2 linked regions of the Callithrix jacchus genome follow. The protein of the gene in region 1 interacts with the protein of each later gene in a pairwise test. Links are inferred from orthologs where the notes say so. Each region holds a gene or a part of one and is shown on either strand. Other genes may lie near its edges.

Region 1 (5,285 bases):
GTTAGCAAATACAGAGGCGGGGAGGGGGTCCAAGGAGGGGGGAGGGGAGAGGAGACCAGATTTGCATAAGCCCAGCTCTTGGGTCAGCGGTCTTAGGAGACGAGGTGGTTGCCAGGGCAACGTGGCTGCCACCACAGCATCCCCACGTAGTAGGTGCACATGAGATGTGGCGGATGCATAATTCATTCCCACGCACAGGGTGTGAGGTGGCCCTGGCCCCTATGTCCCTCCTGAGTCACCATGCGATGATAATTAGTTCAGTCTCTTGCCTGAGCAAATGTGTGCGCGAGACTTAGCTTGGTGGAAGGGGTCTTTCCTGTATCTTGGAGACACACCCAGGTCCTGGGCTTTGGCTCAGCACTGTCACCATCCTGAAACCTGGCAGTACAGGCCTTGGTTCTGGGAGCTTGTCCTGCTAGCAGGGACTTGCTCAGCCCCGTGCAGTCCTCAGCTTATTGGACATCTCCTGGGTGCTGGGCACACAGCCTGGAGCGGGGACAGGCCCCAGGAGGGCTCCTTCCACCCATCATGCAGCCTGGCCATGCTCAGAGGGCTTGGGAAGAGCCTGGCTTATGAGAGCGGCCTTCTCCCAAGTTCCAATTCCTTCTCATTAATATAATAAGTGCACCAGTCCAAGTCAATAACATCACACTGTCGGATGAGACGCATCTCTGCCCCTTCCTAATGATGCGATCCTAACTGGCTCTGACGGAGCGCCGCAGTCTTTTCTCTGCAGTGGGACAGAGAAAGGCTCGGAGCTGACTGACAGGGGACAGGAGGCAGCGGTTTTAACTCTTCTCTTTGACAGATTCCCTTGAATTTCCTGGTCTTTTCGAAGCTCTTCAACCAGATAGGTAAATAGTCCCAAACTCAACGAAACACTTGGTTTTTCACAAGAAAAGTCCATGTTTGAGGGGACAGGGAAAGACGAGGCTTCCTTCCAGTAACAGAGTCAGTGGCCTGGGTCCCTGAAGGGGGCTCCAACAGTATCTGTCTGGGCCCCCGGCCCTCATTTCCAGGAAGCAGCGTGGGTTCTGGAAAGAGAGGCCTGCTGCTGTGACCTCGGAAGAATCTCTCGAGTGCCTGGATTTCAGATCCTTCGTCTGCTACACGGAAGGAGCCTCTGGATGCCTGGGGCTGTCAAGGGTATGAGTGGAGTGTCCCATACTCCCAAGGGGGGCGTTCCTGATACATCTTCCCTTTGGAGCTAAAGGAAGAGGCCTGGCCAGGTGTCCCCACAGGCAGATGGGGATAAGAGTTTCAACACAACACCCTCCCTGCCACCCGCACTGGCTCCATCAGCTGCTAGGAGCTGCTGGTCTTTAGGTTTGTACATTTCTCCTAATTGTGTGCGACGCACTGAGAGTCTCACTGGAACCCGTGTGAACAGTGACACTTTCCATAGGCAAGTGTGACTTCCAGAAAGTGCCTCTGCCCAGACAATGCTGCTCTCACACCCAGCTTGCTGCAGGCACTTGGGGTCTGGGGATGGGAGACATCCTGGCCTGAGCCATGGAGTGGGGTGGAAATGGGCTGGAATGGGTCGGTGTTCAGGGAGGCAGCCAGCAGCTCCTGGGGCCCAGCTCCCTCCTGGGGAAGTAGATGCTGGCGGGGGCAGCACACGGGGTGGGCCTGGGACATCTTCTTCTGCAAACGTACCTCAGAAAGCCAAGAACTAGCCCTGAGAAAGCAGGGTCCTCCCCTACTCCATGGGCCTCTGGGAAAGGTTCCCACAGACGGCTGTGGTGAAACCCAGACAGCCCAGGAGTAATGCATAGGAGACTCTGTTCCTGAATTCCACTGCAGGCAGGGGGGCTGTCCTGGGTCCTATGTTCTCATTAAATGAAAGATCCTCCATCATCCAGCATTCCAGCTGTCACACTTGCTTCCATACCCAGTGTATGGATTCTGAAGCTTGCCACTGCTTCACATGTCCCCAAAACACACATGTGACCAAGTCTCTTCCCAAGTCCAGTCTTTTAGCAACCCCTGACCCCTAGAGTGGGGTCCAGCCCACTGAGCTCGACGTTCAAGCCCCGGCCCACCTTTCTTGCCGCTCCTGCAAGGACCCTGGCCAAGCTAAGCTCAGCCGCACACCGAGGCTCACCCACTCTTTCCTGGAACGCTGCTCCCTCCTTCCCTGTCCCAACAGCACCTGGTCACCCTTTATGGTCCAGCTACAATGTCACCTCCTCCCTGGCAGGCACCTCATCCCACAGCTTCTAAACTGCCAGTTTAAAAGCCAAAAACTAGGAACAGCACAAACGTCACCCTCCAGAAGGGATGGACCCGGGGTGCTGCCTGTGAATGGGACACTCACAGCAATGGGAGGATGACTGCCCTTCAACAGACACATCTCCCACTCCAAGCAACTGGCTCAGTCAGCTTCTCTCGCAAGGCCCAGATGGTGATCAGATGGTGCAGGAAGCCCCAGCCAGCCTCCTCTGGCCACAGCTGACTCCCTTCTGGGTCACTGTCCTGAAGAGATGAGAAACTCTGAGGCTTCAAGATGGCATCTTCCTGCACAAACTGACCAAAGGCACGTGGAGAGAATGCTTTCGTCTCCCTGCACAGTCTCTAGGACCACTGGGGGCTGCTGGGCACACACAGGCCCCCCTTACCTAGGGAGTGGGCTGCGGTGGTCTCAGAGCTGAAGAAGCGGCCCAGACCAAGGTCACCAAGCTTCACAACACCCGTGGCTGTGATGAACACGTTGGCAGGCTTGATGTCTGTGGGGTGAGGAGAAGGAGGTTGGTGTGGGGCAGGAAGCTTGCAGTAGGTGGGGCAGGGCGAGAGGAAGGGGAGCTCCAGGTGAGGTGAGGCCCAGCCCAGGTCCTACTCCCTGGCTCTGGCTGTGGAATCTCCAGAAATTAACCGTTTCTGAGCCTCAGTGTCTTCACCTGTAAAATGGGTCTCCCTTCACCAACCTCACAGAGCTGCTGCGAGGGTGTAGAGGGCAGGGGTTTCTGTGCTCCTGTTACAGCTGTATCCTCTGTGCCTAGAACAGTGCCTCACACAGGAGGCCCTCAGGGGAGTCTGTGTAATGAAGTGCTCAGTGGGACGCCCTGCACTGTACCCCCCTAGCAAGGGCAGGGTCTCAAGTACAGCAGACACTGAAAGATACAGGTAGAGTAAAGGAACACAGGTGTCAGCCTACCCAGAGGACTCTGCATCCTGCCAGGCACCCAGAAGGCTCCTTTTTACCACTTGGAATGACGTCTACTGTGGAAATGCCCCTCTCTGGTGCCTCTCCTTCTCAGTGCAGCCAAATCCCGCTGAGATGGCAAAGCCCCTACCAAAGTCCCCTCTGTGCAAGGCTTCCCCGACCTCCCTCCCAGGCTGCTGTTAGGAACTGCAGGTGGTGTGTCAAGCGGGGCCCCTGCCCCCTAGGGCTCATGTCATCTCCACCTCGGGGAGGACACTGACACGAGTGGGTGGTGGCTGGACAGTACCCTGCCTGGGAAAACAGAGTGGTCTGACTTCCTCAAGGGGCTGCCCGAGGACCCTGGAGGAGCCAAGGGGATGCGTCTTCCTGGGGCTTCTGGGGCCCCCGGGCTCCAGGCGGCGGCTGGTGGGTGGCGCGTACCTCGGTGCATCACCCGGCGTGAGTGCATGTGCTCCACGGCGCTGCACAGCTGCACGAAATACTTCCACACCGTCCTCTCTGGGATGAGCCGCTTCTGCTTCTTAAAGTACTGCAGTGAAGGAAGACAGGCAGAGGGACAGATCCGGGTGAGCGGGCTTGGAGGTGGGTGGCTGCAGGGCGCTGCCTGTATCCTTTCCCCGGGGGACAGCTGGTGACTGGCACGGGGTGGGAGACTGAGCTGCTGAGCAAAAATAAGCCCAGAACCAAGAGCGCTGTGTCTGTGCCTCTACTTCTACCTGAATGGCACTTCGTGGCCACCCTGTACCCACCCTGCAAGCTCCGTGAGGGCCACACAGGCCTGGCGTGTCCAGATGGCTTTGCTGCATGGAGCCCCAGATCAAATATGCTGAAAGTGGGCCTCAACTGCATTTTTCCAGAACCTTCTGGACACACCCCTGAAAGGGCGCTCCTTGCTGGACTGAAATGGGTGTGGACTCTCCCTGGCCCCTCGCCTGGCCCAGGAGGGTGGCACCCAGGACACACGTGGTGGTGAAATCACAGCCGCCCCCACCTCCTCGGAACCAACAGACCTCAGTGCACCGAGATTCTTAACAAGCACAGCGAGAACCTTGAGGAAATGGGCTTGACTCACTCAAATGGAACCCCAGTTCCAACAGGCTTCGCTGCCTGGGAAAACATACTTAGCGCTCCAGGAAGAAAACAAACACAGAAAGCCCCCAATGGCACTGAGTGAGCTCTAAAGTAACAGGAGGTCCTGGAGAGGGCAGGCCCAGAGCATGTCACAGCCAGCGTTCGGCTCGAGACGGGGATGGCTCCTGGACGCCAGGCCCACGTCAGTGCCAGTGCGGCAGGACTCCCTCATCAGTTACCTGCATGCCAGCTTCTGTTCAGGGGCTTTCTGCTTCAAAGTAACCACCTTTCCCCAAAGCAGGCAGAGGCGGCGCTGTGGGCCCACTGGTCAGGGCAGCTGCTCTCGTGCTGGAGAGCTGGGAACTGACTGACCCAGGACGTGCCAGTCTGGGAAGGGGCGCGGGTGGAGGAAAGGACCTGGGCAGGCACTCTCAGAGCACCTGCAGGGTGTGGCCACCATGCCGGGCCTGAGGGCGGGCTGGGCTCATGTAGAATCACAGCTCAACCCCAGGTCTCCCACCTAGAAAGCCCAAGCCCTTAGCTCACTTCTTCTTTTTTTGAGTTAGAGTCTCCCTCTGTCACCTAGGCTGGAGTCCAGTGGCGCAATCTTGGCTCACTGCAACCTCCACCTCCTGGGTTCAAGCAATTCTCCTGCCTCAGCCTCCCAAGTAGCTGGGACTGCAGGTATGTGCCACCACATCTGGCTAATTTTTTGTATTTTCAGTAGAGACGGGATTTTGACCTGTTGGCCAGGCTGGTCTTGAACTCCTGACCTCAGGTGACACGCCTGCCTTGGCCTCCCAAAGTGCTGGGATTACAGGCGTGAGCCACTGTGCCTGGCCCCCTTAGCTCACTTCTAGTAACACCAGTAACCATTGATATGGGAGACTGAGCTCAAAGAGGTTCAGGAACATGGCCAAGGTCAGCCAGCACCCAGCTGGGACCCAAGTCTCGATGCTTCCCACAGTGGGACAGTTGTAGCTGGGAGCCCCTGGCGTCACTGTAAATCCCATTGAGGTTGTTCTGAGGCGCATTTCTGGGAGGGCCT
Region 2 (5,285 bases), on another chromosome or scaffold:
TCAGTTGAGGTCAGGAGTTCAAGACCAATCTGACCAACATGGAAAAACCCCACTCTAGTAAACATACAACATTAGCTGGGTATGGTGGCAGGCACCTGTAATCCCAGCTCCTCGGGAGGCTGAGGCCGGAGAATCGCTTGAACCTGAGAGGCAGAGGTTTCGGTGAGCCGAGATCATATCACTGCACACCACTGCCTGGGCAACAGAGCAAGACTCCGTCTCAAAAAAAAAAAAAGAGAGAGAGAGAGAGAGAAATGAAAAGAAAAGAAGGGTTGGGCGTGGTGGTTTAACGCCTGTAATTCCAGCACTTTGGGAGGCCTCAGTGGGCAGATCATCTGAGGTCAGGAGTTCAAGACCTCAGATCTTGAACGGTGAAACTTCATCCCTATGAAAAATACACAATTAGCTGGACGTGGTGGCGCATGCCTGTAATCCCAGCCACTGGAGAGACTGAGGCAGGAGAATCTCTTGAAGCCAGTGGGCAGAGGCTGCAGTGAGCTGAGATCGCTCCATTGCACTCCAACCTGGACCACAAGAGCAAAACTCCATCTCAAAAGAGAGAGAGAGAGAGAGAAAAGGAAGGAAGGAAGGAAGGAAGGAAGGAAGGAAGGAAGGAAGGAAGGAAGGAAGGAAGGAAGGAAGGAAGGAAGGAAGGAAGGAAACAAAGAAAGAAACAAAGAAAGAAAATGAAAAGACAAAAATCTGCTATAGGCAGTTACAGCTGGGTGCTGAATCTGGGAGTTGAGTGTGAGACTCTCTCTAGGGATCTTGCTAGGTCCGGCTCCGTAGGTGTCTGGACTCAAAGCCAAGTCCCACGGGAAGGAGTAGGGAGGGAAAGAAGGGGTAGGGGCTGTTGTACCTTACTGGCCACGTAGGGAACGGCCTGGGCCTGGCCGATCGCCCCCACCAGGCTGGAGATGTTGATGATGTTCCCCTGGCTCTTCCGCAGGTGGGGGAGGGCAAGCTAGGGAGACAAGAGGCCAAGTAAACCGCAGGAGCCCTGAAACAGCCCCAGGCATCCTGAAGTCTGGGATGACGGCCTTCTCTCCGGCATGTTCCTAGTTTATCTCAGTGACTGCTAGAGACAGCATCTAACATAAACCCCTCTCTGATTTGCCCTGCGGTCGCTGGGTCTCAGCACTCAAGGAGTCTCTCCTTGTCGGGAAGGGATTTCTCTCTTCTCCTGGGTGTCTGATTCTGTCTCTCTCTGTTCCCCTCTCCCTGGGTCTTTGTATGTTACTCAATTCCTGTCTTTATCAAGTCAGGAAAATCGATGAGAGATCCAGAAGGCTGCACATTTTTCAAAAATGGGAGGAAGATCTTTTCCAGTGAAGTCTCTGTGGCCCAGTCTGGAGTACAGCGGCAATGCTGGTAGCTCACTGCAGCCTCAAACTCCTGGGCTCAAGCAATCCTCCCTGCCTGGCCCCCTGAAGTGTTGGGATTACAGGCATGAGCCATCACGCCCAGCCAGGAGGTTCTTTTATCTATTGGGGGGAAGATGGTTTCTATGAGGCCCTAATGAAAGGCACTCTGGACCAGGCACAGCGTCTCACGTCTGTAATCCCGCAGTTTGGGAGGCGGGTGGATCACCTGAGGTCAGGAGTTTGAGACCAGCCAGGCCAACAGGATGAAATCCCATCTCTACTAAAAATACAAAATTAAGCCAGGCACGGTGGTGCATGCCTGGATTCTCAGCTACTGAGCAGGAGAATCGCTTGAAACCAGGAGGCAGAGGCTGTAGTGAGCTGAGAAGGCGTCACTGCACTCCAGCCTGGGCAACAGAGTGAGACTCCATCTAAAAAAAAAAAAAAAAGAAAGAAATGCACTATTTCCTGCCACCTTCTCTCCTGCAACTCAATTCCCTGGCCACCTGGGAGGTCCCTAAATAAACACACACACACACACACACACACACACACACTCTCTCTCTCTCTCTCTCTCTCTGTTATGTGTGTGTTCATTGACTACACATGACCTTGGATAAACTCAAACTCTATTTTTCATCTCGCTTGCCTTGGGCAGCTGAGCTGGCCTAGCAAGGCCTGTCCCTGCCACTTAAGACCAGCTGATACAAGGCGGCACCCCAGCAGCTTCTCAGAGCGGGAATCTAAATCAGCTCCCTGTGCAGTTCCCACCACCAACTCTTTCTTATTTATTTATCTATTTTTTTTTAAGAGACGGGGTCTTGCTATGTTGCCCAGGCTGGAATGCAGTGGCTATTCACAGGCACGCACCCACTACTATCAGCACGGGAGTTTTGACCTGCTCCATTTCCGACCTCGGCAGGGTCACCCCTCCTTAGGCAACCTGGTCCTCTGCTCCCGGGAGGTCACCATACTGATGCCGAACTTAGTTCGGACACCTGATCGGCATAGCGCACTACAGCCCAGAACTCTAGGGCTCAAGCGATCCTCCCACCTCAGCCTCCCGAGTAGCTGGGACTACAGGCACAGGCCACCGTGCCCGGCGTTTTTTTTTTTAATTGTTGTTCCGACATTTTGTTCAACCACTGACTCTTTCAAGCCTTCTCCACTCCCCACCACAATGGCCTCCGCCCTTTTCTGTGCTGTATCTTCAGACCCACCCTGCGTGTTCCAACCTCAGGGCCTTTGCATTTGCTGTTCCCTCTGCCTGGAGCACCTTTTCCTGACAGAGCCACGTGACCCACTCCTAGGGTCTCTGGCCATCCCAGTTTGCCCAGGACTCTGAAGGGTTTCTGGGGACCTGGTACTCTCAGTCCACGGTGTCAATGCTAAACAGGGACTGTCCTCGGTAAACACCCTCCCTCAGCTCCTTCAAACCCTGATCCAAGGTCACCTCCTCAGCGAGGCCTTCCCTGGCCATACTGTTTAAAACTGCAGGCCGGGCTCAGTGGCTCACATCTGTAATCCTTGCACTTTGGGAAGCTGAGGAGGGAGGATTGCTTGAGCCCAGGTGTTTGAGACCAGCCTAAGCAACTTAGCAAGACCCTGTCTTTCTTTTTCTTCTTTTTTCTTTTCCTTTTTATACAGTCTTGTTCTGTCACCAGGCTGGAGTGCAGTGGCGCGATCTCAGCTCACTGCCGCCTCCACTTCCCAGGTTCAAGCGATTCTCCTGCCTCATCCTCCCAAGTAGCTGGGACTACAGGTGTGTGCCCCCACACCAGAATAATTTTGTTGTTGTTGTTTTGTTTTTTGTTTTTTAAAAGGAGTCTCATGCTCTCACCCAGGCTGGAGTATAGTGACTCTATCTCAGCTCACCACAACCTCCACCTCCTGGGTTCAAGCAATTCTCTGCCTCAGCCTCTGCAGTAGCTGGGATTACAGGCATGTGCCACCACACCCAGCTAATTTTTGTAATTTTAGTAGAGACAAGGTTTTACAATGTTGGCCAGGCTGGTCTTGAACTCCTGACCTCGTGATCCACCAGCCTTGGCCTCCCAAAGTGCTGGGATTACAGGCGTGAGCCACTATGCCTGGTCCCAAAAAATAAAATAATAAAATAAAACTGCAGTCCCCCTACTCCTGGGCCCCCTTCCCTCTTCCGGATGTCTTTTCTCTGTGGTACACACTCCCTTCTGACAGATCATATACATTTTATTTATTTGTTCACATTCTGTCTCTCCCACCAGGATGCAGAAACCTATGAGGGCTGGTCGAGATTTCTTATTTTGTTTCTTTCCCAGCACTACGGCTCCTGGCACATAGCACATGCTGCATAAATATCCTTTGAGTAAATTAATAAGTGAATGAATGAATGAATGAATGAATGAACTGAAGGCCTGGTATGTGTCCAGCCCTGTCCTCAGCAATTAGCTCATTTCATCCCTCTAATATTCTCCTGAACCTACAAGAAGGAGGTACAGCTGGTAGGGAGCAGTGGCTCATGCCTGTAATCCCTGTACTTTGGGAGGCTGAGGCCGGAGGATCACCTGAAGTCTGGAGTTAGAGACCAGCCTGACCAACATGGTGAAACCCCATCTCTACTAAAAATACAAAATTAGCTGGGCATGGTGGTGCATGCCTGTAATCCCAGCTGCTTGGGAGGCTGAGGCAAGAGAATCACTTGAACCTGGGAGGTGGAGTTTGCAATGAGCTGATATCAAATCATTGCACTCCAGCCTGGGTGACAAGAGTAAATGTGTGTATCAGAAAAAAAAAAAGAAGGAGGAAGAGGAGGATTAGGAGGTACAGCTGAGAGTCCCATTTTACAAGCCAGGAGACTGCATGGAGGGATGACTGATGCCCACAGAGCATCACCTGACACCAGACAGAGTCAGTATTTGCTGCTGGACAGGCTGAGGCCCAAACACATAAACGAACAAGAATTTCCAACAACCCCAAGTGTTGGCCCAGCGCAGTGGCTCGCGTCTGTCATCACAGCACTTTGGGAGGCCGAGGCAGGTGGATCACCTGGGATCATCAGGAGTTCAAGACCAGCCTCGCCAACATGGCAAAACTCCATCCTTACTAAAAGTTGAAAAAATTAGCCGGGCGTGGTGTTGGGTGCCTGTAGTCCCAGCTGCTTGGGAGGCTGAAGTAGGAGAATCGCTTGAACCCAGGAGGCGGAGGTTGCAGTGAGCCGAGATTACACCATTGCACTCCAGTCTGGGCAAAAAGGACAAAATTCCATCTCAAAAAAAAAAAAAATTCTCACAACTCTAAGTATTAAGAACTTTAGGCCAGGTGCAGTGGCTCATGCCTGTAATCCCAGCACTTTGGGAGGTTGAGATGGACAGATCACTTAAGGTCAGGAGTTCAAGACAAGCCTGGTCAACATAGTGAAACCCTATCTCTACTAAAAATACAAAAATTAGCCGGGCATGATGGTACATGCCTGTAATCGCAGCTACTTTGGAGACTGAGGCAGGAGAATCACTTGAACCAGACAGGCTGAGGTTGCAGTGAGCCGCGATCGTGCCACTGTACTCCAGCCTGGGCAACAGAGCGAGATTTCATCTCAAAAAAAGAAAAGAAAAACCATGCTCTTATGAGCATGAACGATGTGGGCATTGGCCAGCCCCTGGCCTCCTCCTCAGGGAACCCCCTCGCCCTCGCCTCCTCTTACTCCCACCTGCCTTACAGCCCACCCTCCCTCCCTCCCAGTGCTCACCCCACCCCACCCTGTTGCGTTTCTCCCTGTCTGTGTACCTGCCTGCGCTTTAATCTCCTCCCCCACCTGACCCTGCAAACGTGAGACTTCAGGACTGAGATACGGTTCTTGCCACCCTCACCCCAGCACCAGGCACACAGCTGGAGCTCAATAAATATTTGTCCCACACTCCCTGAGTGTCTTTCCCCCACACC

Evidence for each region. The genes of interacting proteins can lie anywhere in the genome.
Region 2: the proteins of NEK6 (region 1) and HSD17B14 interact in binary tests that used the Homo sapiens proteins (3 or more experiments, as listed by UniProt). The two-hybrid records come from large-scale screens. The link is inferred for Callithrix jacchus from reciprocal best matches to the Homo sapiens genes NEK6 and HSD17B14.

Annotation. Positions count from the first base shown.
Region 1 is NC_133502.1:172,948,242-172,953,526, reverse strand, and holds part of NEK6 (serine/threonine-protein kinase Nek6), read right to left. Parts: intron 3,696-5,285; coding exon 3,587-3,695; intron 2,730-3,586; coding exon 2,622-2,729; intron 1-2,621. UniProt on the Homo sapiens protein: Protein kinase which plays an important role in mitotic cell cycle progression. Required for chromosome segregation at metaphase-anaphase transition, robust mitotic spindle formation and cytokinesis.
Region 2 is NC_133523.1:42,662,108-42,667,392, forward strand, and holds part of HSD17B14 (L-fucose dehydrogenase), read right to left. Parts: intron 965-5,285; coding exon 860-964; intron 1-859. UniProt on the Homo sapiens protein: Catalyzes the NAD(+)-dependent oxidation of L-fucose, yielding L-fucono-1,5-lactone, which rapidly converts spontaneously to L-fucone-1,4-lactone. Can also act on D-arabinose and L-galactose, with lower catalytic efficiency. Does not use NADPH.